4 linked regions of the Caenorhabditis elegans genome follow. The protein of the gene in region 4 interacts with the protein of the main gene of each other region in a pairwise test. Each region holds a gene or a part of one and is shown on either strand. Other genes may lie near its edges. The genes, in order: idpp-12, rbmx-2, erm-1 and cir-1.

What was found.
Region 1: the proteins of cir-1 (region 4) and idpp-12 interact in a two-hybrid assay, tested with the Caenorhabditis elegans proteins (one large-scale study listed by BioGRID).
Region 2: the proteins of cir-1 (region 4) and rbmx-2 interact in a two-hybrid assay, tested with the Caenorhabditis elegans proteins (one large-scale study listed by BioGRID).
Region 3: the proteins of cir-1 (region 4) and erm-1 interact in a two-hybrid assay, tested with the Caenorhabditis elegans proteins (one large-scale study listed by BioGRID).

Annotation. Positions count from the first base shown.
Region 1 is NC_003282.8:3,301,407-3,305,408, reverse strand, and holds idpp-12 (Intrinsically Disordered Protein, expressed in Pharynx), read right to left. Parts: upstream 1,420-4,002; 5' UTR 1,402-1,419; coding exon 1,083-1,401; intron 1,032-1,082; coding exon 928-1,031; 3' UTR 840-927; downstream 1-839. Other genes in the region: W08E12.4 (CC domain-containing protein), read right to left, coding at 2,517-2,623, 2,675-2,993.
Region 2 is NC_003280.10:6,194,930-6,199,183, forward strand, and holds rbmx-2 (RRM domain-containing protein), read right to left. Parts: upstream 2,020-4,254; 5' UTR 2,007-2,019; coding exon 1,828-2,006; intron 1,781-1,827; coding exon 1,651-1,780; intron 1,525-1,650; coding exon 925-1,524; 3' UTR 882-924; downstream 1-881. Other genes in the region: cpb-2 (Cytoplasmic polyadenylation element-binding protein 2), read left to right, coding at 15-203; C30B5.2 (Vacuolar protein sorting-associated protein 55 homolog), read left to right, coding at 2,306-2,321, 2,488-2,563, 2,607-2,790, 2,877-2,999; szy-4 (Suppressor of ZYg-1), read left to right, coding at 3,861-3,963, 4,014-4,102, 4,148-4,254.
Region 3 is NC_003279.8:5,284,096-5,292,727, forward strand, and holds the start of erm-1 (Moesin/ezrin/radixin homolog 1), read right to left. Parts: upstream 6,600-8,632; 5' UTR 6,541-6,599; coding exon 6,523-6,540; intron 6,424-6,522; coding exon 6,340-6,423; intron 6,099-6,339; coding exon 5,898-6,098; intron 4,224-5,897; coding exon 4,069-4,223; intron 3,747-4,068; coding exon 3,587-3,746; intron 3,539-3,586; coding exon 3,356-3,538; intron 2,617-3,355; coding exon 2,437-2,616; intron 2,355-2,436; coding exon 2,007-2,354; intron 1,474-2,006; coding exon 1,368-1,473; intron 1,291-1,367; coding exon 1,124-1,290; intron 596-1,123; coding exon 503-595; 3' UTR 1-502.
Region 4 is NC_003279.8:5,653,074-5,658,220, reverse strand, and holds cir-1 (CBF1-interacting co-repressor CIR N-terminal domain-containing protein), read left to right. Parts: upstream 1-2,363; 5' UTR 2,364-2,400; coding exon 2,401-2,567; intron 2,568-2,614; coding exon 2,615-2,904; intron 2,905-2,953; coding exon 2,954-3,454; intron 3,455-3,580; coding exon 3,581-4,305; 3' UTR 4,306-4,393; downstream 4,394-5,147. Other genes in the region: mff-2 (Mitochondrial fission factor), read left to right, coding at 1-45; wdr-12 (Ribosome biogenesis protein WDR12 homolog), read left to right, coding at 312-403, 447-544, 595-689, 741-847, 900-1,024, 1,076-1,170, 1,280-1,601, 1,656-1,781 and 2 more; F55F8.3 (Periodic tryptophan protein 2 homolog), read left to right, coding at 4,645-4,662, 4,717-4,829, 4,874-4,968, 5,016-5,115.

The sequences.
Region 1 (4,002 bases), on a different chromosome or scaffold from region 4:
TCCGTGTGGAGTACACGACACTTTTCCACGCGTTTTCCGGCGGGCAATTGTCAATGGAGCGCGAAAAATTCAGTGAGGAAGGCCAGAATCCCGTGAGCGAAACGACTATTCTCCAAGCGCTTCCCCAATTTTCGCCCGGAAAACGCCTTCACGCTTCTCGACTGGAAAATGTTTCAAAATTTCATATCTCCCACCGATCACATGTAAAATTAACAAGAATCTCTCAGAAATTGAAGTGTATAAAATTTCAGAAAAATATTTAAACTTCCACCCGATAGAAGTGCGCTCCATTTGGAAAACTTATGAAAATTTGCTGAGAAAATGATGAAAGACATTTAATATTGAGCGTATTGCTGAGTTGCACCTGTTCTGTAGACAGATTGGCCGAGGTTTCGCTTTTTCTAGGCCAAGTGACAAAAAGTGTGCGTCCGCACGTGGTGTCAGGCTATCCCATTTCGGTTTGATCTACGTAGATCTACGAAAATTGCGGGAATTTAGACGCAGACTTATCAACTGATTTCGCATGTTTAAACTTCACATTTTTCTGGGGAAAAAGTTCCCGCGGTTTTTGTAGATCAGCCTGTAGTGCCTGCTACGCAACTTATAGGCATAAATTTTAGGGCGACATTTTAAATTGTCCCCTACAAAGCTTGTGCTCTGATCAAACGAAGTTTGTATGTTGAATCTGGTTTTTCGCTGATCTCATCTTCCTGTTTGACTACAACGTCCGAAGAACCGTTTGCTTGAAAAAGAAGTATTGTGGAAAAAGTCTAGTCTTGTTTCTCCATTACCAACTTTCTGTTATGCCACAGGAACCACCTAACTGTTCAGAAATAAAATATAAATTCAAACGTGTTTATTATTACGTATAAATCTAGGTTTCGTATATACAAAAATTGGATCAAGTAATCAGACGATCGTAGAGATTTACTCTTGGGTTGGAGCAGCGGTGGTGGCCTCTTCTGTGTTCTCAGCTGAAGCGGCGGCAGCAGAGTTATGACGACGGAAACGGAATGGGCAGCACGAGAAGTCTGAAAGTAGCGAACTCTTTTTGAAAAACCATGCTTACGACGAATACTAACTGTTATTATTGCAGCATTGAGATGGCTGAATGAAGATCGGCTGTGGTGGGCAGCTATTGCACATTGGAGCACAAACTGGTCCGTTACATGGGCTGCACGAGCATCCGTTATTGTTATTCGGGACCTGGACTACAGTGACTTGTGGTCCACAGTTATTTCCATTGCATCCACAGTTGTTACCCGAACATCCACCACAGTTTCCTCCGAAGCATGGTGGTGGTGGAAGGAAGATTGGTCCTCCTCCGCATCCACCTCCGAAGCATTGAGCCGACGCTCCGGCGATGAGAGCAAGAAGAGCGATGAGGCAGGCGGATTGCATGGTGAAACGGATAAATGTAAGAGCTGATGGTTCTAATGTAAAAGTATTCGCTTTTTATACGATGCCGCCTGGGGGAGACAGGTCGGTATGTTTATCAGCTGGAGGCGGAGCGCTGCTCTAGTTCCGCAAGCATTTTTTTGCCGCGAATCACACAAACTTTGTGTAGCGCTACACATACTTATTCAAGTTCAGTTCCAATTAGCAACTAGTTGTATCTAAACATTGTCTGAAAAACTGACAAAGTGATACTGAAACCCAACGCGTCTAGGCTTCTAAGCTTCCAGACCGCATTTGACGTCACACTTTTCAGAAAAACTTTGCAATTTCAGCAATGAAGGTGGCTGAATGAAACGTTATTAACTCGCTCTTTAGGAGAGCAACTTCCTGCCAAAAATCTTGACAAATTAACTGCTGAGTAAGCTCTTCCATTAATGCCAAAGTCTTGTCAGGTATCTGTAAAAGATGGACAGGAAGCACGTGGAGTCAGAAGGTCTTATTTCGATTTGATCTTCAAAAAATGCGGAAGTTGAGACGCATGCATCTCATCTGATTTTGCATGACTGACGTCACAATTGTTCTGTAAAAATATTCCCGCATTTTTTGTAGATCAAATTGTATTGAGACAGTCTGAAATCACGTGAGGACGTTGCAACCAAATACAGCGAAATTCCTTAAAAAAACAGTGTGAAAACTTTTCAGGCTTGAATAGTCTCACTTCAGGAAGTTATTTTTCTATGAAAATCCATGAATATTGAATTTCCAAAAACTAAGGCAAAATTTAAATAAAACGAATTTCCCACTTCCAAACCTTGTAAAATATTGTTCTGTTTAAGGGGCCTACACTTCATGGCTTCACGAATTTCAAGCTTCAGAATAATCTTTTTCAGTCGTATACAAATTGGCTATGGATCTGAAAGCTTGGCATTGGACCGGCCCAAATGCATTAAGGGTCGAGATTTAAAATGCATTAAACTTTCAGTTTTGTGATAAAATTTCTGAAAAAGAAGAATTGAGCTTCAATTTTTAGAATACTTGGACTAATTCATATTTATTAATCTACCAAAATGGGTTGCTTTATATACAAAAACTGGGAATTAACTTTTAGAAGTTGGGATCTATTCTTGAGCTGGAGCAGCTGTGGTTGGCTCTTCGGTGATCTCATCTGAAGCGGCAGCAGCAGCAGAGTTATGACGACGGAAACGGAATGGGCAACAGGAGAAGTCTGAAAATAGCAAACTCTTTTTGAAAAACCATGCTTGCGACGAATACTAACTGTTATTATTGCAGCATTGAGATGGCTGAATGAAGATCGGCTGTGGTGGGCAGCTATTGCACATTGGAGCACAAATTGGTCCATTGCATGGGCTGCATGAGCATCCGTTATTGTTATTTGGGACCTGGACAACAGTGACTTGTGGTCCACAGTTGTTTCCATTGCATCCACAGTTGTTACCCGAACATCCACCACAGTTTCCTCCGAAGCATGGTGGTGGTGGAAGGAAGATTGGTCCTCCTCCGCATCCACCTTCGAAGCATTGAGCCGACGCTCCGGCGACGAGAGCAAGAAGAGCGATGAGGCAGGCGGATTGCATGGTGAAACGGATAAATGTAAGAGCTGATGGTTCTAATGTAAAAGTATTCGCTTTTTATACGATGCCGCCTGGGGGAGACAGGTCGGTATGTTTATCAGCTGGAGGCGGAGCGCTGCTCTAGTTCCGCAAGCATTTTTTTGCCGCGAATCACACAAACTTTGTGTAGCGCTACACATACTTATTCAAGTTCAGTTCCAATTAGCAACTAGTTGTATCTAAACATTGTCTGAAAAACTGACAAAGTGATACTGAAACCCAACGCGTCTAGGCTTCTAAGCTTCCAGACCGCATTTGACGTCACACTTTTCAGAAAAACTTTGCAATTTCAGCAATGAAGGTGGCTGAATGAAACGTTATTAACTCGCTCTTTAGGAGAGCAACTTCCTGCCAAAAATCTTGACAAATTAACTGCTGAGTAAGCTCTTCCATTAATGCCAAAGTCTTGTCAGGTATCTGTAAAAGATGGACAGGAAGCACGTGGAGTCAGAAGGTCTTATTTCGATTTGATCTTCAAAAAATGCGGAAGTTGAGACGCATGCATCTCATCTGATTTTGCATGACTGACGTCACAATTGTTCTGTAAAAATATTCCCGCATTTTTTGTAGATCAAATTGTATTGAGACAGTCTGAAATCACGTGAGGACGTTGCAACCAAATACAGCGAAATTCCTTAAAAAAACAGTGTGAAAACTTTTCAGGCTTGAATAGTCTCACTTCAGGAAGTTATTTTTCTATGAAAATCCATGAATATTGAATTTCCAAAAACTAAGGCAAAATTTAAATAAAACGAATTTCCCACTTCCAAACCTTGTAAAATATTGTTCTGTTTAAGGGGCCTACACTTCATGGCTTCACGAATTTCAAGCTTCAGAATAATCTTTTTCAGTCGTATACAAATTGGCTATGGATCTGAAAGCTTGGCATTGGACCGGCCCAAATGCATTAAGGGTCGAGATTTAAAATGCATTAAACTTTCAGTTTTGTGATAAAATTTCTGAAAAAGAAGAA
Region 2 (4,254 bases), on a different chromosome or scaffold from region 4:
TAAATTAAGTTCAGGTGGAGATCAAGCCATACTTCTTTCACAACCAATCTTGCGAGGAATGTTCGGGTCGTTATCATCGTCAACATGCTCCATACTTCTGTCCATCTCTTGAGTGCTTCCAGTACTACTGTGAGCCGTGTTGGCACAAAATGCATTCGCATCCAAGTCGTTTCCATCACATGCCAGTTGTCAAGGGAGTCTGAGCACTAATGTCTTTGAAATAAATTTGTTTTAACTCGTATTTTCATGTAATTTGACTACTTTTGAATTAATAAAGATTTATATTCAAGTTGCTAGTCTCTGCGATTTTTTGGAAATTCGAATAATTCGGAACCCGGTCTTGAAGCGACCGAAATCTCATAGCTACCGTACTCGAGTATGTTACTACGGCGTACTGTAGTTGATGTATTCAAAAATTTCAAGTTTCTGTTTTGAAAATTAAAAAAAAATTAGTTAATTCGTTTCCATGGTTGTTGGCAGATTCAATGTTCCTTGTGGATTTCGATGTTCCCATCACAACAAAATTTGTTGCATTTATTGGTGGTGTTCGGAGACGTTTTTGAGCAATTTAATTGAAACGTGGTGTGTGCATAAGGAAGTAAAATTCGAAATACTCTCGGATACAGAAGCTTCAGAGTTTCGATCACGAGTACCATTTTACGACTAGAATATCACTTTATACTGAGATTTTGTACTTTTTGAGAGCTTCGGAAGACATGGGGAAGTGTGATTGAAATAATAAGATAGTTTGGATTGTAATGGGTATACTGTACTTTCCAACTAGACTGTGAGTTTTTTTGCAAGGGTGTGTGTATTTTCGACAAAACTAATTTTCCACAAAAGTTGGTTCTAATTGCAATGCCATGGCAGTTGACGATTTAAAAAAACAAATAAAAATTTATTAAAGTGAGAAAAAACAAATATTCATCTTCCTTGATATCTTTTTGACACATAATGATCCTCTGGACCCCACGCTTCTGATGTTTCTCCTCTTGCTGCTTTCTCTGCCTTCTCTCGTTCTCGGATGACTTTCCAGATTTCAATATCTCTCCAATCAGCTTTCTCAAAATCTGGTCTTGGATTATGTTTAACTTCTTCAACTTCTTTCTTCTTTCCAAAATCAAAGTGCTTGTTCTCACCATACAAATCATCTTCAGCCACAACTTTATCGATAAGTTTGGCTTTATTATTCCAATCCCCATCTGGATCTCTTGCAGCTTTCTTCTCCAATTTTCGAATTTTCTTTGCTCTCTTCTTTTCCCGCTTCTTCTCCTTTTTTGCTTTCTTCTTATCTTTTTTGATTTTTTTCAGCAACTCTTCATCAACATCTCCAATATCTAATAATACTTCTTTGGCTTTCTTGATTCTCTGTTCTTGAACTTCCATAGGTGCTGCTTCTCTCATTACTGGTTTTGGAGCACATCCTTCTTCCCATAATCGTTTCGTTTCATCATCGGCATCTTCTTTGTATTTCGGGACTTTATATTCTTCCACATGATCTACACGAATCATTCGTTTGTGTAACTGAAAACAAAATACTATTTTTGTTGTCGTTTAAACGATCGATTTTATTTGAAAAATTTGAAAAAGGCTTTATATTAATGTTCTATCAGCATCTTTGCATTTTTTTTAAATGAATTAAAAACTTACGCTGATTCCATTGAAGTTGTCCACTGCCAAAATCGTACTTCTTTGATCTTTGTAACACAAAAAAGCAAATCCTTTCGACTTTCCTGTGTCCTTATCTCGAATTAAATTGATATTCATAACTTCGCCATATCTGAAAAGAACTTTATAAATTGAGAAACAATTTTTTGCAAAACTCACTGAGAGAAAACGGCAATAACATCCCCTTCTGAAAGTGCGTATGACAAACCACCAATGTAAATCCAGGCAGAATCTTTGTAAGTTTGATGCCACGATTTTTTGAGATCTCCAGCGTAACCCAAACTGAGCTCCCGCTCGTTCATACGGTTCTGATTTTTGATATTCGTAATCGGATTCATGTTTTACTGCAAAATGTTAATTAATCAGTGAAATATAACTGAAAACAAGATCGCAACACGGAATAATGGAAATTAAAGAGAAAACTAGATTTCGTAAATTGAAAAGGGGTACGGTCGAAAGTCTGCAAACACAGCGACGTCAGAATGCACACATCTCGCGCTTTCCCCATTTCTGTCTTCAGTTGCTTGCATCGATTTTTCTCTTTGTTTTTGTGTAATAATTATCTTTTCGGTCATATAACTTGTTTCAGGGAACCTGGATTTATTCATCAAATAAGTTTTCAAGACACGAGTTCATAATGGGAGGAGTACGAGGTATTTATGTTTTTAACGTGAAATTAAAGTTTTATATTTTCTTAAATCCACGCTTATTTGAATTGAACATTCTTCTGATAATTTTTATTCCCTGAAAGATTCATAATGTGCTGTCATATTCATATACAGTGTTTCGATTGCTGCTCTATGAAAAATACAATTTTAGCTGTTGCTGCACTGGCGTTCGCCGGAGTTGTTGGCCTCACTTTCCTCGTTCTTGGATGTGCCCTGCCTAGGTACGGGTTAGTTTTAAACGTCTTGAAAATGCTAATATTCATTTTTTAGAACATGGACCCCAATGTTTGTTATCACATTCTACGTTCTTTCGCCGGTACCACTTCTCATCGCCAGACGCTTCCAAGAAGATATGACTGGAACAAATGCATGCATTGAATTAGCTCTCTTCATCACCACTGGAATTGTCATCTCCGCCTTTGCTCTTCCGATAGTGCTGGCACATGCAGGAACGGTAAGTATAATTTAAGATCAAATTTTGGGTAAATGTGGAATGATGTGAATAAGTTTATGTAACGCATGAATAAATGTCCAATTCAGATAGCAAACAGTGCATGCTTCCTCGTCAATACAGGATCTGTGATTATGTTCGGTACAATTATTGCATATTTCTACTTGCATCGTGATGACGACAGTGGAAGCTGGAGCCAGTCTCTGTTCTAAATCATTCACTTCACTATTAATTTCTTGTCAAGTAATTGTGGTTCGTCTATTTATTTCAATTATCGCTAAACCTTGTACAACATGTTAATTTTTTTCAGATAGCGATGTCCGCGTGCTTCCTAATCTTCATCGCCAATTCAATCAACTTTAGCGTCATCATTTTTTACTTCCGCATTTTCAACGGCGAGGATATGAATGGGATGTCATTGTGGTAACAATCGTCTGGTCATCATCTCCTAACTTATTCTTTTTCGATTTTCCCTATATTCTACTTCGTTACTCTCACTTTCCTCGGTGGATTCTCAAACATTGTATAAATATAAAGAATTGTTCTGTAAATTTGGCAAATAAAAGTTACCAAAATAAAAACTGTATTAGACTTCCAACTGTAATTAATTTCTGGAAACTACAATATTAAACTCAGAGCGTTTGCTCATTTCATGTAATTACAACTCATGAAATTCAAAAGTTATGAACGTTATAGTTTAATTAACTTGCGTTCGATTTTGATACAGCCTTCCTCAATGTCTAACATGTATTTGGGCAGGAGAACTATTGAATATTTCACGGTATTTTCATTTCATTCACTTATTCGTCAGAACTGATATCGTGCTTTTATAAGCTTTCAATTAAAAACTCAAAAAAAATAAACTTTAATTGATACGGTATACCGTAACATTGGCAAATTTAAAGGAACATTCACCAAATTTCTGTTAAGGTCTCGTTGGGTGATTCCAAACAGCATTGTGCGCGCGCTACTTTTAAAAATTTTTCATTTGTCATCAACAAATTTGCTTGATCAATCTTGTGCTATCCCATTTTTTCTATTTTGTTTAAGTTAAATTTCATGAATTGAAAACTATGAACAAGGACAATTCTCCCTCCGAAAGTCTCGTTAACTCGAGTGCTTCGGAAGATAAAACCGTGAAGACTTCAATGAGCGCCAATAATCCTTCAATAAATGGTATCTTTAGTTTTATTTAAAATTTATGGATAAATTTTATTTACTTTCAGATAGCTCACTCCCAGAAAGATTGCCTGCCATGTGTGGATGTGATTCTCAAAATCGGGAAGAATCTGCAAACTCCGGAGTTCAACTATCGGTTTGTGATTGAATGAAGAGAAAAATGCATAATTTTTGTTTTTAGGATCATGCGAACGAGTCCCTATCGAAACAAGCTGATGACGTTATATATGAGGGCGGGCTGGAAGATAAAGATTCAGTATTCCGTGCAATTATTGAAGACGATGATGC
Region 3 (8,632 bases), 370 kb from region 4:
TAGTTGAATAACTGTGTTTAAACAACGCATAAATGGGAAAATAGAAGAGTCGAATATTTAGATTTGAATAATATCATAATTAATAAAATAAAATAGATAAACATTTTCAGGGGGATGTCGAGAGTTTGATGGGGAGAGAGAGGGGAAAAGCGTAGAATTTGAAGTCTTTGCGCGAGAAATTCGGGGTTTTTTGGCGGCGGATTTAACAAGTTACTTGAAAAATTGGATATGACGAATACAAGAAGAGGGGAATAGAGAAACCGAGCATTTTTTGGAAGAAAACAAATTTCGGATAATATTGTAAAAGGCACTGATGGGGTGAACAAGGAAGTGAATCGGAACAAACCAATAAATTTTCAAATTAATAATAATAATAATTGTTGTCCTATAAAAAAAACGAGAAAGGGAGAAAAGAGCCAAGATGATGAGCATTTGGAAGTTGGTGGGAGACAATTGAGAATATTGTTTAAAAAAATAAAAGGAAATACGATAGAACAAATAATTACATATTTTCGTATTGATCGATTCTTCGTTTTGTGTTTCCTCCACGGATTTGACGGAGAGTCTTGTACTTGTCGCGTCCGGCCTTTTTGTTCTGAAAATTTAAAAATTTGGAATCGGGCCGGCAGGTTTTTCGGTTTTTCGATATTTCGGTTTCGCTCAAAAAATCTAAAAAATTTAGGGTCAAACTTGTTCAAAAATAAGTAAAATTTATGTTGCTTGTTTCCGTAAAGGAAATACCGAGTTTGGAATGTTTTCAGAAATGTTTTCGGTTTGTCTGCAAACAGAAAACACCGAAAAAACTCAATTTCTGTACTTCAAACAATTTTAATATCATAAAATTATTTTTAAGCAAAATTTGTTTTTAATGGCTTTTTAATGATTTTTAATGATTTTTTTTATTTTAAAATAATCCGGAACTCGATATTTTTTAAAGATTTTTGCGTTCTTCTGTTTTTTTCCAAATTTAATTTTTAAAAAATTGTATTTTGATCGCAGTCCGGAAATATTTTTTAAAACTTGAATTTATGAAAAAAATGCAGGTTCTAGAAAATTACTGTAAATTTTGAATGCTAAATTCTCTAAAACCATCCATTAAAACGAGTTTTTTTAAAATACGAACCTCCATATGCAGAACGTCGTAGTCAGTGACAGCGTTCTGATCTTTAACACTGTCAAGCTCGCGAGTCAACATATCCAGCTTATTCTTGATCTGAATGTTCTTCTCGGCTGCTGTGACACGCTCCAACTCGTGTTGTGGCACATTCTGATCAGCGTCATTTGTGAGTTCTGGAAGATAAAATTTGAAGATGATATTTTTTCTCATAATCTCTCCCAATTATTTTAAATAAATAAAAAAGGCATACCAGTTGCTCCATTATCTTCATCATCAGTGGCAGTCTCATCGTGAGCGTGTCCATTGGAAACGTGATGACTGTTTGAGTAGTGTTGAGTGTGTTGTTGCGAGTGAATCTGAATTTAAGAAAAAATAATTTTGAAATAAAATAAATCCAGAGTTACAATCAGGGATTCCGTTTTTTTTGGTTTTTTCGGACAAGAAAACATTTAAAAAAATGTTTATCAAAAATTTTATGTTTTAGTTGGTATGACGAAAAATGAACATTTTTGTTTTTTTTTGTTGGTTTTTTGGAGAAATTTTAAACAAAATTTGTTTGTTTTTTGGCCGAAATTTTTGTTGCAACATCACTGCGTACAATTAAAAAATCTCGCTTTTAAAGATCGGATTTTTTATTCTTTCACAATTTTTTTTAGTTTTTTCTTTTTGTATCTCTTTTATTGTTGCAAATTTTTTTTTTAAATTAAGCTTTTTTGTTACAGTAATCAACTAATTTCAGGAATTACTGCATACTTTTTTTCATTTTAAAATTTTAAAACAGTAATTTCAGACTGAAAATTACTGCTCGATAATTGTTAATACGGTATTTAAAATAATTTTTTTAAAGAGAATTTTTTGTTTCTATTTTAGTTTCAAAAATAAAAAATACCTGTGTCTGAAGTTGTCTTGTAACAGTAGTCTGTCTCTCGACTTCTTCTCTCATCGAAAAAACTTCACGTTCACGAGCATCAACTTGGTCTCTCAAATGACGTCTCTCACCATCACTCATTGCTTTTTCGGATTGAAGTTGAGCAGTGAGCTCACGAAGTTCGTATTCCTTCTGTTCCAATGCTTGTTTAGCCAATTGCAATTGCTTGAGTTGAGCCTCCAATGAGTGAATTGTATTGTGTGCTTCAGCCAATTCAAGACGAGCTCTCTCCATATCTTCCTGCATTTGAGCCATACGCTTTTCGGCGTCACGTTGACGCTGTTCGGCTTCTTCGCGAGCAGACATCTCCTGTACGATCAAAACAGATTTGAGTGAAAGTTTTTTTAGAAATTATTTGTAAAAACATGTTTCAAAAATTTCCGCAACTTACTCTGGTGAGCTTCTCCTGCTCGGCAATCTTAAGAGCACGATCCTCTCTGGCTTGTTGCTTCATTTGTTGAACTTCAATGGTATCTGGCTTTCTTCTACGCATGTAAAGCTCGTGATTTCCCATACACAAAGCAAGAATACGTTTGTTGATACGGAGTCGTGGAGCGTAGAAGACAAAGTCCTGAAAATTAATGATAAAAATGAAGACGAATAATGAAAAACATTTTTTCGATTTTTTTTTCAGCGAAAATAAGAATTTTTTTTCGATTTTTCTAAAATCAAAAAATCGGGGAAAAAATGTTCAGAAAAATTACAACAAACTCAATTTCCACAAAATGTTCCATCCATCTCGAAATTTGCGATTTTTGATACAAAAACACATTACTCGATATCGAGGCGATCGAATAAATTTAAATGAAAAAGGATGTGCGCATTTAAAAAGTACAGTAGTTACCGTTGAGCTGATTTGAAATTTTCATAGATTTTTTCTAAATATTTTTATTGTAAAAACCTTTTATTTTACTTTTGTTAGTGAAACTAATTTTTATTAATTAATAAACTAGAAAAATCTAACGAAGTTGGAAATCAGAAAGGCCTGGAGCTACTCTACTTTTTAAAGGTGCACACCATTTTGGTAAATAAATTTATTCGGTCGTGTCGAGACCGAGACCGGGCACCATACTTTTGCCTCAAAATCGCAACATTCCGCATCTGGTCAATGATTGTGATATTTTCACACCCCAAAAATAAGAAAAACCAACAAAAAAATTTTAAATCAAAATTCAATGTTCCATCGATTGCTTCTTATCACCACCACTTCCAACTACTATCACACAATTTTTCCGTTTTTTCCGCAGAAATTTTGCCAACAAATAGAAGCTTGATGCCACGACAAACTGTGTGTGACAGTAATCACTTACATGAGCCTTCTTATCAATTGGTTTGATGACAAATTTCTTGTCGTTGAATGATATATTACGAATCTCCGACCATGGGAATCCGACTTTCGGCGAAAGACGATCAGCTTTATCGTAAATATTCAATCCAAGAGCATCGACACCAAGATAGAGATCAGTTCCCTTTTTGTTGCGGATTTCAAAGTACTGAAATTAGCTTTTTTTAAAACTCGACAGAAAAATGAGAAACAGTACATTGACTCCATACATCTCGAGATCTTGTGCAATTTTCAAATATTCAAGCATAGCTTGTTCACGTGTAGTTGCACGATGATCTGCCCACCATGTCATAATACGGCGTTCCCATTCCTCACTGTTCAATTTGAATTGTCCGAGAACGCGTTGAGGAAGCAGACTGGAATGAAATAATTAATTATTTTTGGCATTTAATATAAAAAGTTTACTTTTTTTTAACTACTTCTTATTATATACTTTTTTATTGATCATCTAGATCTGGAACTTTCCCTTCTTTATTCTAATCTCATTTTCATGTGATAATTATGAATTGTATGAGTACTGTGATACTGTGAAATTTCACTACATAATTAAAAATGAATTATCGCAGAAAATTATTATTTTTCTTATTTTAGTAATCTTGATTGGAATTTTGAACCGCAAAGATATTTTTTAATAGTTATTAATAATTTTTTTAAAAGCTAATTTCAAGAAAAACTCACCGATCAGCAGTAAGACATCCGGCGACATGTGTCTCTGGAACATAGTCTCCATATTTAGCTTGCATCGCGTAAGAGGCAAGAAGAACAGAGGTTTCCGGTGGACAATAAATCTCATCTGACAGAATTCCATCTTTCACTTGGAGATAGAACAAACGCTGAAAATATTTTCATTTAATTAAGGCTTAATTTCAGTTAAAAAACTTCATAATTTTTTAACTGTATGTTCTGTACATTGAGATTGTTTTCTGACATTTTAAAAAACCATACTCCATTTTCAACTAATGATTCTGAAACCCAATTGTTCCCTCTTCCAAACAAAAAATTCTGCAAATTTTGCAAAAAGTTCAATTTATATTCTCTTCCCCTCATATTTATCGTTTTGAATCATTTTTTGATTATTCACACATGCCATTCTCCTCTTCCTCTTTATGTCAGTTATGAACATGAATATAAAAAGAGCAAAGAGACAGCAACAAACTGAGAGTTTTTTCATTGTTTCCATTGATATGAGTCATCGGAACAGAATTTAAGTCAGTCTATCTATTCAAATTCAAATGCGAAATATTATTGGAAATCTAAAAAAAAGAGAAAAAATCAATTTACTTAACCGGAAGTGATATTTATATTTTTGAATCATTTGAGAAAGTGCTCAAAAAAGGTTTTTTTGTGAATTAGAAACTTTCAGACCATTTTTGTGCATTTTCTCAAATGTTTCAACTGAAAAATGTTATTTTCATAGAAATAAAAGTATTTTTCTATATTTAAAAAAAAAAGAAATTTTTACATTAATTTTAACAACTGATCTAAATTTGCATATAGGTACTAAATCAATTTGCATATAGGTACTAAATAGCTATTCTACTGAAATCTTCAACTGATCTTGTGATCCTATTCAAACAAAACAGACCACCCAGATCAGAGATTTCCTGTTCGCAGTCGGAGGTTCTAATAGGATGCTCATTTCTCCTCTCAAAAAAAGAGTCTCGCACACACAGTGTCTTCCCATCGATGTTTACAAACCATTAAACAATCTCTTTTTGTGTGAGACAAAAAAGTGGCTCGGAGGTAATCGGAAACCACACTCTCAATGGGAGAACCTTTTTTTGAAACGGAAGGGAGAAAATGCCCATGTTTACACTTGTCACCATCAAAATATTTTGTTTTTAGGCAGTTTATTGAGGACCTTGTGAGCACATGAGCCGTGGAAATTTTTGAGCAGAAGAGTTTTTTTTGCTCAAATAAAACTGGTTTAAAAAATTCAAAAATTCTTTATAGCGAGCCAAAATTCTCAAAAAAGAGCCAAATTTTCCTAAATCGGAATGCCATTTTATTGAATTATCACTGGCATAAAAAACTTTATTCTAATTTTAGCAAAAATATCGGATTTTTTTAACAGAAAAAATATCGGATTTTTTTCAGAATTTTCACTGCTTTAATTCATTTTCGGGCATTTTTTGAGAAATTTCATTTTGAAATTTGGTCGTTTTGGGGTCTTTTTAAGCAGGCCAGCTTGTAAGAAGGTACTCTAAAACCACAGAAATGTATTCCTTACCAAAATTTTCCCCTTTTTTTCTATTCTTGAATATACTCCAAAGTTATTTCCTATTGCTTGCCAACATTGCATTACATGCATAAATGGCACGGGCATTCTCTACTTATCAGTTACAAATCAGAAATAGCACAGGAAATCAAGAGAGTCGCCAGAGAATGTCAGAAAAGCGAAAAGTGAGAATTACAACTAAAAATCAAATATTGGCCAGAGGTAATGGAAAATTTACAGTTTTTTTTTTCCAAAAAATTAAATATTTAAAAAAAGGTGTCAAACATACCATAGTGACATCCTGGATAATCTCCTCGGCCACATCTTCCGGATAGAATTTGGCGCGGAATTTGAAAACAAGAGTCGGGTCCTTCTTAACGTCCTGAGACAAGACTTTCTTGTTCAATTTCAGCCATGTTGGGAATCCCTTGTTGTCAGTGTACTGAAGTCCAAAATACCAGATCTCGCGGAGACCAATGGTTTTGACAACCTGCAAAAATTAAAATGAAGGAATTAATATTGCTGGAAAATTCGAAACTCAATTTCAAGAGCTGGAAATTTTGGATTATTTTTTTCAAATTTAAATCGTTTTGATTTAAAATTTCTAATGGTTAGTGAAAATTTAATGTTTCAGAAAATTCTGATTTTTTTTTTGAATTATTAAAATTTATCCATTCTCCAATTTAATAAAAAAAGTACTTTTTAAATATAATAAAACAAAATCATCTAACCTGATCAAAAAGTTGCTTTCCTGTGGTGCTCGACTGAATAGCGAACTCGAGCTCCGAGTCCATCGAGGTGACACGCACATTGATCTGAAACAAGAAATAGTTGGATTAGGCAAAAATAAAATCGATTTTTCGTTATATTTTTTCTTAAATTTCTAAAAAAAATTTTTTCAATTAACAATTTACATCGCCGGCCGCAACCATTTTTCTATTTTGTGTTCCACAAGTTTGAACTGCTGGACCAATTGATATGAAGAGGTTAGCTTAAAATTTTTCAGTAAAATGATATAAGAAATCTTGCATGAAAATCAGAAATTCAAAATAAAAAAAAGAGTGAAACTTGAGAATTTAAAATTCTTATCTAAAACTAAATGATATGAGTTGTCACTCTCTCTCCCTGTATACAGCACAAAAACGGAGTGAGAAGAACTATAGACCGCCCGTTTTTGTACAGGCTCCGCCTATTTGTCGGTTTGCACACATACATGTGCGCATTTCTTCATAGAAGTTTCGGCAGAAAAAAAAAGAATGAAATGATATTTCAAATATCATCAATTTTGAGTTTATTTCGAGTTCAAAATTGTTCGCGGCTCTACTTCGTAAGCGTAAAAATCTGAATTGTTTTCTAAAATTTTTTAAATTAATTTTGTAAAAAATATATGTTTTGTATTTTATTTCCCACTTATATGTTTAAAAAGAGGCGCATTTATGCAAAATGGTATTGAAACCCTCTATTTTCGAAAATTTCAACAAAACCTCAAAAATGAGTCCATTTTGCAGAAATATGCCTCTTTATAGTCTTATAAGTGAAAAATAAAATACAGAGTATATTTTTAGATCGATAGATTCTTATTTTTTAAAAAAATCGGCAGAAGTCGTGCTGAACAGAACATAATTTCCGAAATATTCAACATTTCACAGTTTCAAATTTTTTCCATTTGTTTTTAATTAATGGCGGCATTTTTTCCGAAAGAAATAAGAAAATCGCAAATTTAAACAGTGTTTTTTTTTATTTGGCCGTAAAAGTTTTAAATTATTTGAAGCTACATTTTTCAAACTTACCGCTTTTTTCGACATTATTTTAGCTCTTTTTGATGTCCGAGTCGAAGATGGATTGGGGTGAGCGGTGAGAATTCACGAAACTTTTCCACCGAAAATCTTCGTCACTTTTTTCTGCAAGAAAGTAAAATAAGATGTGAAAATAGAATTCGAATGAACAGAGATTTCAAAAATTCATGAGAAATCAGAAAACGGAGCGAAGAAAACGAAACAAATGAGTTCAAGGTTATGAATTTTAAATTTTGAATAGAGAAATCTAATTTTTCAATCATTTATCCGAAAATTCAAAGTGACACATGGAAAATTGTGTATATTTTAGGGGGATTTATACATTTGGCGATTAAAAAAAATCAATAAAACTCGAAAAACAATAAAAAATGAGTCATCGTCTGATTCAAACCCGTTCGGATCCGTTTTTGGCGCGTTCTGCGATTTGCCACTGCACGAGAATCGCGCCAGCAGGGCGTTGGCGCGATTCTCGGGTGCCTGGACAGTTTCTTGGGAGTTTTGGCGAGTTTGAGTTTTTTTTAATGCTTTAATTATTTTAAAGAAAAAGTTTCATGAATCAAAAAATTATTCAGAAAAATATGTGTCACAGGTGGGAATATTGATTTTGATTTACAGGTACAGGGCTATTATTTCCGGCAATTCTACAAAATTATTGGGCTATGTTGTTCCAACGTTTTTCACTAAAAATTAGTGTCAAAATATCGAAAATCACTCGATTTATCTGGAAATGAAACATATTTTTAGCTGAAACATTTGAAGAAATGCTCAAAATCGGTGGGAAAGTTGCAAATTGTTAGACAAAAAATCTGATAATTCGATAATCGGATACTGGCAATTTTCAGGCCATTTTTAAAAGCTTTCTTAAATGTTTTAGCTAAATTGAAGTTTATTTTCAGACGAATCAAGTAATTTTTCGATATTTTAACACTAATTTTGAAAAATGTTGAGATAACATGACAACAAAAAATTTGATGGAAAAAGCCAATAAAGCACACAAACTGGCTTAAATTTTCAGCTGGATACCGTATTAGAACAGTACGGAAAAAATTCCAAGAAGTTCGAGACAATTCGCTAAATTTTTGATAATTTTGAAAAATTAACTGGAAAAATAAGGAAAGTAAAGATTCAATATAAAAACTTCCGTAAGGAGAATGAAAACAGCAAAAAAACACCTATTGGAAAATACTTGTTCACAGAAAAAAGCGGTTCGATCAAAATGATCTGAAAC
Region 4 (5,147 bases):
CTCGGTGTTGCAATAACGGCGTTCTGGTCACTTTTGAAACGATAAAATTCGGAGGATTTATTTTTTTATTCATTTTTCATTGCAATATGATTTTCTGATTTTCAATAGCTCTCAAAAAAGCAAAAATTTATCAAAACATTGATTTAAATGTTATAGATTTTCGTTAGTCCCCTTCATACGGTATTTTTGTTTCCGGTTGAACCCTCACATCTCCTCTTCTCTCTTCTTGTATTTATTCTTCGTTTGTCTCTCATTTCTTACTTGCTTCCCAAAAATTTTCTGAATAAAATCAATTATTTTCAGATCGAAAGATGGACTTGGCGGATTTAATGGAAGTGGAAAACGGTGATCACTCAATCAATCAGAAGCACGTTCAAATCACCTTTTTCAGTAAAGATGAAGAGTAAGTTAGAATTTTATCCAAATGCATCATGTTCGTTTTTCAGAATTCCGCAAATTCCGGATGCCGTCTTTGATGTTCCGACTGGAGCAGAATGTGATGATATGAATCTTCTATTGAACAAGACTATTGAAGCCAATGATGGTTTATTTCAGCTATTTCAAATAAAAATGTTATACAATTTTATTTTTCAGGTGCATGGAAAGAGCGGCGATTCGAATTTCTGGTTGGTGAAACGTTTTTGCGCACGAGTCTAGCTGAATTCATCGAGGAATACGAAGTGGAAACGGTAAATTTCATTTAAAAAAAGTTTAGAGTTTTAATAAAACAAGCTCTGCAGGAAACAATCCTTAAAGTGGAATGCGTAATTGGAATTGAAGCTCCAAAACCACTTCATGATATCCAAGCGCCTGATTGGGTTTCTTCGGTACAAATCGCAAACGGCCAGTATGTTTTTTCCGCTTAATGTTTGGTAAAAGTCTCATTCTGAAATTTTCAGCATTTTCTCAACAACCTACGGAGGAGACATTGTAATTGTGGATCGTAAAGGAAAAGAGACAAAGTTGGCTGTTAATTCAGCAAATCGTCTTTTAAAGTGCATCTCAATCGTCAAAGCACCATCTAGTCAGTTTTAACACTAGTTGAAATTTAAAAAAACGATAATTTTTGTTTCAGAGAAAAATCAATTGGACGGTACAGAATTTGTGGTCGGCGGTGAAAATCAACTGCTGACTCTCTATGCAATTGAAAAAGGAGCACTTGTTGAGAAGGTTAGGTGTTCGAATTTCGGGGTTATCAGTTTTATCAATAAATTTTGTTTCGAAAATTCTTTTTTTTTATTTTGCAGTCATTACTTCATTCTTAATAAAAATTTTCCAGCTCATCCTTCGTGGTCATGAACGTGCCGTCGAATGTGTTTCAGTCAACTCGGATTCGACCCGTGCGATTTCTGGATCAGTCGACACAAATCTCAAAATTTGGAACTTGGATGCATCTGATGAAGCAACAACATATGAGAAAGAAGAAGAAGAAGAAAGTGCGAAGAAACGCCGAAAGAAAGAAACCAAAACTAAAGTTCCGATGGTTACGATTGGAGGGCATCGTGACAAAGTATCCGCAGTCGAATGGTGTCCATGGAATTCTGGACACGCATTTTCGTGCTCGTGGGATCATACTATTGTTGAATGGGATTTGGAATTAGGTTAGTTCTAATGATAAATATCCTATTTATATACAAAAAATAATTTCATTCAAGCTGGTGAAATTTCGCGGATCAAAGGACCCAAATCATTCACAAGCATTGATCTTCATCCGAAGAGTGATCTTCTCATCTCCAGTTGTACTGATGCTATTCCAAGACTTTATGATCCAAAAAATAGAGGTTTGTTTGTTAATATTTATTTAGTCTCTTGTATTTATAAAACATTTCAGATGGAAGTATGGTTAAACAATCATTCATTGGACATCAAAATGGATGGGTTGAAGCTGTCAAATGGAATCCGTTGGATACAAATCAATTTGTTAGTGTTTCCACCGACAAAACTGCGAAAATGTGGGATGTAAGGTAGGTCTTGTTTCAAAAATTAAAGAACCATTCAGTTTTTACTTTAATATTCGGTTTGTTTCAGATCCTCAAAGTCTTCATTGTTCGACATTCATGGACACGATGATCGTATTTTGTGTGCCACGTGGAATGAAGGACTAATTGCAACTGGATCCGCAGACTGCACAATCAAAATCTTTGAGACTGCTTGATTTGTTTTGTTTTTTGTTATTCTACAAATTCTTATATTGTTTTTTTTTCTATATACCGCGTTTTCTATTTGTTGATTTTGATTTTTTGTTGAACTTTTTATGAAGTTATCCACTTGAATTTATTTTCCATTACCTTCTGACAGTTTTGAACTGTGTTAAATATTTCAATTATTTTTCTTTCTTCAATTTTTCATTCAAGTATTTTCAGAATTTTTCAGTGAGAATCAAAACAAAAGCGTTGCAAAATGGGGAAGGGTTTTCAAAACTTCATGTCCAAAAAGGACTTCCATCCATCCGCTTTTCGGAATCTCAAAATGGTCTGGGAAGCACGACAGAAGAAGTCTTTGGAGGACAAACGACAAGAAGAACTTCGAGTTGCTTATGAGAAAGAGCAAGAAATTTTGAATAACAAGTATGTTGCATTCAATATCTTCTCACTAGATTATAAATATTTTTCAGAGCTCTTCTTGGAGACGAAAAGGCCAAAATGGGATTATCGTTCATGTATGATGCTCCAGCTGGAATGACAAAGAGAGAAGAACCGAAAGAAGAGCCGAAATTCGAATGGCAACGGAAATATCAAGCACCACGTGAAGATTGGGCTAAAGGAAATGAAGAGATCCAAGATCAACCATTCGGAATTCAAGTTAGAAATGTTCGATGCTGTAAATGCCACAAATGGGGTCATATAAATACGGATCGAGAATGTCCATTGTTCGGAAAATCTGGAAATTTTGAAGATGAAGGATGTAAGTTTCCGAAAAAAAATCGAATTAAATGTGTAAAATCAATTTTCAGATGCAAATAATCCATCAGACCTAATCAAAGATCTTCGTCGGAGACGACAGGAAGGCAAAGCAGGACCTTCAACATCGAAATCGTCTGCTGCTGCGGCGACAGGAGAAGATGACGATGAGGATGAGTGGATGGATCATCAGCAACTTGCGAGTGATATGCGTGAAGAACATGGAATCAAACTCAAAAGTTCTGTTTTGGCTGGAATGCAGACAGATCAACAGCTAACAAGAATGAAAAAAGAAATGACCGAAGAAGAAATGATGCTGGAGTTTTTCAATTCGATGACTGAAAAGGAAAAAAAGAAATTGCATAAGAAGCTGATGAGCGGTGCAGATTTGGAAGATGTAATGAAGAAGAAGAGTAAAAAAGAGAAGAAGAAGGAAAAGAAAGAGAAACGGAAGAATAAAGACAAGAAGAAAGATAAGAAGAAAAATAAGAAGAGCAAATCTCGTGAAACTGATGACGATTCTGATGGCAGCGATAGTGAGGATGATTGGAAAGGTATTTAAAGATGAGGTTTTTACATAATTAATTTGATCCTAAACACTTGTTCATTGATATCAAATATTAACGAAACGCTTAGAGTAGTTATTAGTTTCTCGATTTTTCAACCAGTTCATGTTTCAGAAAAATCATCGAAAAGGATCAAAAGAGAAGTGGAAAGTTCTCCGGAATACAGATCGAAGTATATCAAGCAGGAAGTTTTATCAGAAGACGAGAATTCCCATGGAAGAAAGGATTCGAGCCGAAAAAGAGCGCATAATGATTCAGAATCGTCAAACGAAGTAAGATCGTCAGAGAGGAAGAGATCTCGAAGAGATGATTCTCCGAACGCCAAAAGAAGTATCGGGTTGAAATCGCCGGAGAGGAGAAGCTCACGAGATCGGAAATCTTCACCCAAACAACGTCAGGATTCACCAGTGAGAAGACGGCGAAGTCCATCGTCGATTCGGAAGGAAAGTCAGCGTGTTCGTAAACATTCACCAGAACAAAAAAGAAATGGCCGTCATGATTCACGATCAGTGTCCCCTGTTAGAAGACGTCGTTCTCCGTCTCCTGACAATCGTCAGCTGGGTTCGAGAAAACAATACTCGCCACTGCGACGTCGCCAATCATCTCCGATGGTTGCATCACCAAGAAGACGTAGATCTCCATCACCAGAACGACAGCGCAAGAGACGTTCACCATCCGATTCCCCGCCAACAAGGCGTCTTTCTACGTCACCGATCCGACGTCGTAGAAGTCCATCGCCCAACAAGTTGCCTGTGAGAAGGCGTCGTCATGATTCCGGATCGCCTGATCGTGATGGATCTGAATCACCGAAAATGTGGAGAAAGAAGTCGCATAAATGAACGCTATTCAAATCAATTTTTAAAATTATTAAATGTGGTTTTCTTTTAAATTTTTTCCGTCATGTCTAATAAAGTATTTTCACACATTTTTGCTGTTTATAAATTTCTTGTATTTGGTGTTTTATAAATAATATTCTTAAGAATATTCTTCAATGGAAATGTTTTTATCTCTCATTGCGATACTTCTAAAATCCGCAATTGCGTCAACGCACGAGAATTGCGCCAATGAAGATTCTTAGCGCGGAATTCGTGCTTTGTATTTTATATAAATAAAATATATTTTAGTTTTCATTATTTCTTCCATTTTCAGCTTGTTTCATTGAAGTCTTGCCATTCACTATGGACACTAATTTCAAGGTAATTATTTGAAGCGTTAATTATTCAATTAATATTCCACCAAACCCATTTTAGTTGTCCAATTGCATTGGTACAGTGTATCGAGACGGTCAAGTGGCGTTCAGCAAAGATGGATACTCAGTGATTTCACCTATTGGCAACAAGCTATCAATTTTTGATCTCAGAAAGTAAAAAATAATTTTATATTCACATTTGATATATAATTTTTCAGCAATACTTCAAAAACATTGGATATTGACTGCAATTACAACATTAAAAGACTCTCTATTAGTCCATCGGGTTATCATCTTCTTGCTTCTGACGAGCGTGGGTTATAATGAAACCTATTCGAAGTCAATATTAATATTCTTCAGGTGGAGTTGTTCACTTTGTCCATTTGCTGTCCGAATTCAAAATATATACTTTTCGCAGCAACAAACCGATCGGATCACTTCAGTGGTCACCAGACGCAACGTAAGAAAAAAGCAAATAATTGCAGTTTCTAA